Callithrix jacchus: one gene and its partner. The protein of the gene in region 2 purifies or fractionates together with the protein of the main gene of each other region. This does not show direct contact. Links are inferred from orthologs where the notes say so. Each region holds a gene or a part of one and is shown on either strand. Other genes may lie near its edges.

What was found.
Region 1: the proteins of BTRC (region 2) and HIVEP1 purify together in Homo sapiens (affinity purification with mass spectrometry; 5 studies listed by BioGRID and IntAct, counting the BioPlex papers as one, with this or other methods). This does not show direct contact. The link is inferred for Callithrix jacchus from reciprocal best matches to the Homo sapiens genes BTRC and HIVEP1.

Annotation. Positions count from the first base shown.
Region 1 is NC_133505.1:18,641,897-18,646,027, reverse strand, and holds the start of HIVEP1 (zinc finger protein 40), read left to right. Parts: upstream 1-1,321; 5' UTR 1,322-1,410; exon of another isoform or gene 1,411-1,512; 5' UTR 1,513-1,776; intron 1,777-4,131.
Region 2 is NC_133513.1:94,307,482-94,311,646, forward strand, and holds the start of BTRC (F-box/WD repeat-containing protein 1A), read left to right. Parts: upstream 1-1,356; 5' UTR 1,357-1,475; coding exon 1,476-1,523; intron 1,524-4,165. UniProt on the Homo sapiens protein: Substrate recognition component of a SCF (SKP1-CUL1-F-box protein) E3 ubiquitin-protein ligase complex which mediates the ubiquitination and subsequent proteasomal degradation of target proteins. Recognizes and binds to phosphorylated target proteins.

The DNA.
Region 1 (4,131 bases), on a different chromosome or scaffold from region 2:
GCATCTGACTATTTTCTGGATTCCCCCATCAGGGCTTTATCATTTACCAGCTTTGTGGCTTGCAGGAAACGATGCAGCATTTCTAAGCCTCTGTTTCTTCATCTACAGTGTGGGTTTATGGTGGGGATTAAATAAGTTCATACAGAAAAACCTGGCAAGTCGTAAGCTCTCAATAACTGTTCGTCACGACCACTACCATTACTACTACTGCTAACCAGCCTCCGTATGGACCCTAAATCCATCAGTAACAATCACTTTCCTTAAAAAGACCATTCTCAGGCCAGATGTCTCCAAATGGCTACCAACTGTTCGTAATATCATGGCTTAATTCCTTCCAAATGATGACTGAGTAGGCTCTTTGCTGGTTGCCTGTTGTCTGCCCATTCTGTCGTCCTAGCTCATTACTAGAGAACCCACCCTTCCCATTGGCCCGGGGCAATCCAGGTGTACATCTCTCATCCGAGTATAATTATTAATACTCTCCCTTTCACTCTTGAAAGTGTCCTGGTGTGGGTGTTACTTGTATCTCATTTGCTGAGACTTTCTGCTCTAGGTGGAAAAACCATCACACACAGTTCACTTGCTCTCACCTTCAAGAGATTTCCCTCCTCTGTAATGCTGTTCATACACCACTGCCAAATTGTGAACTTTCTCTCCTTCAATATCCCACTGAGAACTCACGCTCAGGATGGAACTCTGCTCACCCTGTCCTCTACTCAAGCAGAAGCTTCTCTGCGATCATGTAAATAACTGTATAACTTTAATTGGCTCTGTTTATAAGCCTCTTATATCTTTTTTCCCTCTAGGTATTTTTCCTTGTGTTTATCCTGTCTCCATTAATTTGTAATCTCCCAGAGGGCAAGGCCTGAACGCAGGATTCTGTTGGTGTAAAGTGTAGTCACAGGTAAGGCTGATTGCTAGACAGCGCCATCCTTTACTACCAATCTGTTAAAAAAAAAATCCTTTGTAGTACTTTGTTAGTGATGGTCCCGAGACTGCTAACCTAATGACAAACTATATTCAGTATCTGCTAGTGTCCAAGCAAGAGAAAATCAAGTTACACGCTTTCCATAATGTAATGGGGAGGGTGTGCGGATACTCTGACCCGTAAGGGAATTTATGATGAATGTAAAGCATGTTATAGAATGTGTTGCCTTTAGAGATTTATTCTTGTCTTTTCAAGGTTGCAGGACTGTCTCAGAAGGAAAATAATATTTATCTTCCAAACTGAGATCTAAAACCCGAACAAAACCGCAGGAAACATACTCCACCACCATCTTACAAGTTTGTGCTCGGGTGGAGGAAAACGAATCTAAAGTACGAGGCCTCCCTCTGTGCGTCTAGCAGGAAAGACCACATGGCGCAAGTCTCCAGGATCACTGGAGGGGTGGATTGTTCATTTCAGCCCAGGTAGCAACAGGAAGCCCGTGCAAATGCTCCTCTCTCGCTGCGGGGCTAAGGAGTGTGGGTCCTTAGCCGCGGTTACCTTCTCGCCTTTCTCGGAACCTGCAGGTGGAGTGCGGAAGATCAGTGTATCTTCTCGGCGCCGAGCCCAAGGTAGAAAGCGATGGAGGCGGTGCACTAGATAACATCAAAGCCCCCGGCAGGGGCCAGAAAGGGGGGCACCGGCAGCCCGGGGAATGAAGCGCCTCCCTCTAGCATTTCCTCTCACGCCCACTTCCAACCTAGGAGGCTTTTGGTTTCTGCTTTTGTTGTTTTTAAAATTAAAAGTTAAACCCAGGAAGCTTTGCATCAGACTTTTGCGGTGCAGTTCGGGTAAGTTTTTCTCCGGGTTCTTTTGTCTGGCGCCTGACTTGGGAAGAGCCTGGGCGTGGGGCAGAGTTGGCAGGGTGTGCGGAGAAGGTTTTGTCGCCGGGTCGCCCAGAAGGTTTTGTCGCCCGAGGAGGAGGGGATTCGGCCGGTGGACGGGAAAGCCCGGAGCGCGCCGAGGGTGGAGGGTGGAGGGTGGAGGGTGGAGGGCGGAGGGCGGAGGACCGAGGGGAGGGACGGGCGGCGTGACCCGGCGGCCGGCGGGGAGGAACCTCCGGGATCTCCGCGTGGCGGTGGCGGTGGCTGCGGCGCTGCTGGGCCGCGCTCTGGGCGGAGGGCCGGGGCCCCGGGGCCGCGCCAGGGGGGAGCCGGATCCGGGCTGGGGCGGGCGGCCGCGTGGGAACTGGAGCCGGGTACGCGGCGGCGGGGGCGGGCAGGGTGGCGCGGGGCCCAGTGGACGCGGCTCCGGGGTGGACTTGTGCCCTCTCCAAACTGTTTGGTAAGAAAAACGTGTGTAGATCTTTTCAGTGACACTGTCCTCCCTTGAACCGCACTCTCCCCCAGGAGGGGCTCCAGAAGCGTTCACGCGGACGGTAGAGATGGATTCCTAGAGAAATGGTCCCCTAGGAGCCCCCTCTTTTTTGGGGGTCAGAGAATGATCACTCGCTCCCGCATTGTCCCAAGATTTTTGACAGTTGAAAATGCAGTTTGCCATTCATATTCACCCTCTGCTTCATTTTTTCCCACGCTCTTTATCTGATACATTTTGAGAAAATATAATGGATTTGCCACAAAAAAAATTAAGCCTAAAGAAGATACTTTATAGCCTAGCCAGATTTCCTTGCATCCGGATATCTAGGAAGAATTGTAGACAGAGTTAGGAAAAGAAACTGCATTTAGAAAATTCAAAGACTTACCAGGAAACTATTCTGTATTGTATATATTTCAAATAAAAGTTTAATATCGGTTTGCTGCTCAAGGAAATAGTTGAAATGTCAAAAATTTACCTATTATGATTCAAAATTGCATGTATGTCTTGTGAGAAAATTCGTAGTAATGCTGAATCCTACATAAACACTGTGTTGACAGTATGGTATGCCCAATAACAATTGGGTTAAATGTAATTCATTCAGTTAGCATTTTTCACTTCGGAAGTGATACAAACTCCACTCATTATCAAATTACCTTTCTCCTGACAGATCCATAGCTATACGTTCACAGTTAAACGCATGTTTATTTTTTGATTCAAATAACCTAGTTGGGAAGTTACATTATATACTTTTTTTGGTGATATCATTTCATTTCAAAAAAGAGAGATGGTTATATCACATTGAAAATAGAAATTGCACTATTTCATTGTAGGGTTAGCATTAGTACGCTAGACATTCTTTTACATGTACACAGTTGGATGATCTTTGCTTTTATAACCAAATTATAGTAGGCATATTTCCCCCTTTAGATATTATTTTTGGCTACAAACTTGCCATTACCGAGTATTCCATTTTTAATCATTCCCATTCTGGTGCTCTGAGCTTTTCTTAGCTCAAATGAGCTAGAGGTAGGATTTCCTCAGGGGAATTTTAGGGGTCAGCTCTAGCAGGAAAAACCTAGACGTCGTTATGGAAGCCCAAGGGAACAAAACAATTCAAGTTTGCACAGATGGCCAGCTGTCTTAGTGGGTGTATGGTCGTTTGGCATTTTTATTCCTTAAAAGGGGAAAACAGTTTAGTTTCATCAGGGATTTTTTTTCTTTTGCATCAAATTTTTGGTTTCACCTTATTCCTCCCAAGTTCGAGGTGGCCCATTAAACCAGCCACTCCTGCCTGCTTCTTGAGGTGCACGGGTGGAATTTCTGTGCCCCAAACTGCGTACGTTCTTTAAGTCTAACCTTGAAACCTACGTTGCCCTGGTCCATACCCTCTTCACTGCTTTGCCGTGGATTTCCACTCCTTGCTTCCTCTACTGCTTTCTAGCAGCCGGGGTCACACTCTGGTTCATGCTAATTACTCCCTCTTCCCCTTTCACTCCCTCCCCAGCGTCCCTGGAGCCCGGTCCGACGCCCAGCCCCGCATCCCCATGTTCAGTCCCCGAAGTCCCCTCCCGGGGCGGCCCTAAGCTGTAGGGCTGGCAGGCAGGGGTTAATTGCGCTCGCAGCTTCGGCACTGGAAAGCACCAGCGAGGCTTTGGAGCGGCCTCTGGAATAACCTTGGCTTTCCTCGCTCTTTTAATAGAACATCCGCCACCAAAAAGTGGTTTCAGTTCAGGGTTAATATTCTGTCCCCTTCCACTCTCCAAACCAACACCCCTCCCCCCTCTGGTTTTTTTAAAAGTTGTTTTTCAAAGTTAATGAGTGTCAAGTTT
Region 2 (4,165 bases):
TATAGTGGTGAAGTCTGAGATTTTTGTCATCCAAGTAGTGATGAATCCCCATTTCTTGGCTTACTATTTGTGAGGTGAATGAATGAATAAAATAGTTTAAAATGCAGATTTTTCCCATAAGTGAAAAAGTATTTTCTTAGTTCATTAATTTTATAAATTAAGATATTTTGGTCAAGACTGTGACAATCTAACTCCCTTTTCTTTTTCTTTTTCTTTCTTTTGACAGAGTCTCGCTCTGTCACCCAGGCTGGAGTGCAGTGGCATGATCTCGACACACAGCAACTTCCGCCTCCCAAGTTCAAGCAATTCTCATGCCTCAGCCTCCTGAGTAGCTTGGATTACAGGAGCGTGCCACCAAGCCCAGCTAATTTTTATATTTTTAGTAGAGACTGGCATTTCTCCGAGTTGGCCAGGCTGGTGTCAAACACCTTACCTCAGGTGATCCACTCGCCTCGGCCTCCCAAAGTGCTGGGATTACAGGCATGAGCCACCGTGCCCAGCCCTAAATCACTTTCAACTAAACCCTAGAGTTTTTCCTCCTAAGGTAGACCCAATTTCCAAAATAAACTCATATTATATCTTTTAAGGCCAAAGAAAATACTTATATGCTTTATTTGCTGGAGGCCATTATATTCCACTGTTAAAGGGCTTTTGTAAGAACCTGTTTGACCCTTAGTGCAGGGCTTACATCCCAGGGTTAGCAATAACAAGCTATGTGCTTTTTGAGCTCTAAACGCCAAGAATTTCCTGAGCCGAGTTCTATTTGCCCTGAAATGCTGTGGGAGAGAAAAGATTCCTCGGGAGACGTGTGGGTGGCAATAGCTTAGGAGGACCTTGAAATGCTGCATTGGTGTTTGAGCTGCTGCCAGGTGCCCACTGGCCCAGCTCCTCTGGGTCGCAAATCTTCCGCAGACGCCAGATATATGAAATCTGGGGACGTTCAGCTCTCTAAAACCACAGTTAGGCAGGCTCTAGGACCCCTGATTCTTCTCACAGTTTTACTTAGCATTTAGGCTACAGGTGAGGCGTTGGTCGCCATCTTGATATCAAACGCCCGGCAAACCGCTACTGGCGTCCCTCGGTAACCACGGAGACACCCATGCCCCTCCCCTTTTCGTCCTTAGAGGCTGTAAACTACAATTCCCATCAGCCGATTTCCTCTGCTTGAGGGCAAGTTATCTAAATCTGACTCGTCGGCAACCGCAACGCTACCGCAGTGAACTGTGGGAGTTGCGGTTCACGGCATAGCCTCAGTTTTTGCTTCGGGAAGCTTTAGAACTACTAATCCCGTGAGCCAGTGGGCTTTCGCCTGCCCACTGAGAAGCTGATTCTTCTTGGCCCCATCAGCCTGTGCCTGAGAGGTAAGAGAGGGCGGGGGGAAGGAAGAGGAGGCGGGATCCGGGCGCTGCGTTGGCTGCGGCCTGGCACCAAAGGGGCGGCCCCGGCGGAGAGCGGACCCAGTGGCCTCGGCGATTATGGACTCAGCCGAGGCGGTGCTGCAAGAGAAAGCACTCAAGTTTATGGTGAGGAGACGGGGCAGGCGGGGGAATGGCGGAGGCGGTGGCGTTGGCGGCGTTTTGGAGCTCGGGCCTGGGCCGCCAGCCTACTGCCGGACCGGGCAGCGGGACCCTGGGCCGAGGCTGGCGGCAGGGCGGCTGGAGGGACGGGATGGGAGCTCCGGAAAGGAGGCTGGGGATTGCGGAGCGAACCCAGGGGTGGGGGCAGCAGCTCCGCCATCTTGTGGATGAGAGGCCAAGTGACAGCGGGAGCTTAATCGAGGAAGGGGCTCCTGGCTGCGCACGGGGCCCTGGAGGGAAAGGGGCGTGGGGACAGTTACTGAAGAGCGGAGGGAGCTCTGTGGAGAAGCGCCGTGAGGCCGCTGCCTGGGCCTTTCCTGTGTCAGGGTACGAGTAAGGTCCGGGGAGGAGGTGCATTCAGGACTGGGGAGGGGGAGTGCGGGATAGAGAGCAGACAGATCTTACGGGTAGAGGGGAACGGGCAGGGCTGGATATAGATGGATTTAAGGGTGGAGGAGGGAACGCTAGGGCTGGTGACAGGCTTATACTTTTGTAGAATGAGCAGGGAGAATATCCTTTGCCTTGAAGGTGGAATCCCAGCTTGGCCAAACTAATGTTGACAAACTCTGGAAGGGAAGAGGCCTCACTAAAGAAGATAACGACTGGGAATGAAAACGTAGGGCTATAATGACAGTCCCTGGGAGGGGAAGAGCATGTTTACAGTAAACTAGAATTACAAATGTCAGGGAGAAGGATAAATACTCTACTTTGAAAGGAGAAGCTAAATACTGTAGGAAGGGCAAGGTGATGAAAAGTAAGAGGAAGATTGGTCAGGGAAACGGGTACAGGAGATTGGGGGCAAAATGAATGTCTAACGAGTAAGCAAAACAAAATTTGAAGCTAAATTGTGGGAATGTAAAATGTGGAGGCCAGGTGCTTTGTATCATTTTCTGGGAAAGGAAAGGCCGTGGAGAGTTGCAAAGACCCTTAAGAAGTGATGAGATCAGTTGAGAAATTCAGGAGATAAAAAGGGTGGAGGTAGGGAATAAGTCAGTGGTAAGTCAGGATTTGTGATTACCCATCAGTTTTAGGTTGAAGCACAGTGTGAGCAAAAATTGGATTTTGTGGGTGTGTTTAAACCCCTTGGAACCTCTAACTTTGTATCACGCTTTTCTTTTTGCTATGCTTATCTATGGCAAACTTGTATAGTCTGATATTTGATGCTTTTAATCTGATGCTTCTTGTATATCCTAGGTGTAAAACCAGCCTTTGTGGTTACAACTAAAGAGTGATGGAATGCGTAGACTTTAACAGGTAGCCTTAGGGACATGGATATTATTTGCAGTCAAGTCTTGCTATTTCAGAAGTATTGTGACTTGTCCCTCCAATCTTACTCCTTTGCTTAAAAAATAGTTATTTTGTATATTTGCCTAAAATACCATAACAAATCCAAATAAAAATGGATACTAACTTAATTGTATTTTAGGCTTTTAAAGTGCCCCATTTAGAGGGAATACTTCTTCAGAAACTAGTCAAATTTACTAAAACTTTATTTTGCATTAGTGTTTTCAAAAACACCTAATTAAAGTTCAAGGGTATCATTAACAAAATTTTATTGAGCCTGAAGAAGGTTCTTGGATTTCTGCCCAGTGTTAAAATTCTAAATATAAAGAAGAGACCTTGAAGTTTTATTGGACTTTAGAAGTAAGTGAAAGTTACTAGACTTAAGTCAGAAAACTAGTACTGCTTATTTTTGTTTTTCTACTTAGAGGGATGATTTTTTTTTTTTTTTTTTTTTTTGAGACCTAGTTTTGATCTGTCACCCAGGCTGGAGTGCAGTGGCATGATCTCGGCTCACTGCAACCTCTGCTTCCTGGGTTTAAGCGATTCTTCTGCCGCAACCTCCGGAGTAGCTGAGACTACAGGTGCGGACGACCACGCCCAACTAATTTTTGTATTTTTAGTAGAGACTGGGTTTCACCATGTTGATCAGGATGGTCTCAATCCTTGTGGCCTGACCGCCTTGGCTTCCCAAAGTTCTGGGACTACAGGCGTGAGCCATTGCGCCCAGACGAGGGTTGACTCTTAATCCTTATCCTCACACTTGTGTCAGATTTATTGAATAATGTGATTTACAAAACATAAAGAGACATTGTGAGATCATCCCTTTTACTCTCAGTTAGACTTCAGCCTAGGAACATTCTTAGCTACTTAATCTCTGCTTTGTACCAGTGAGTTATGTTTTGATAATGGCCTCCTAGTTGAGTTAAAGTGGATTTGGAGATGATCATGTAATAGTTGCAGCTTTTAGGGGCACCACACGTTATTAAATCTTGAATCAGTTTCCATAGGGAGAAGCCAATTTTTTCTTTAATTTTAGTACTTTCGTTATTGACCTTGCCTGCTGTTCTACAAAAGGTCAACTAGAAGAGGGTCACCAGAATGACACTTTAATAAAAGAAACAGAGAATGAAGAATTTGAGATTGGGTATTCTCTTTCAGTGCAGTAACAGTCTTTACGAATCTAAGTAAGTCACAAATTCATTTGGTGCCATTTACCCTGCTATAGCATGTCTGTTTATTCAGTCAATTTTAAGAAAGGAAGATGATTGGGCACGGTAGCCCACACCTGTAATCCCAGTATGTTG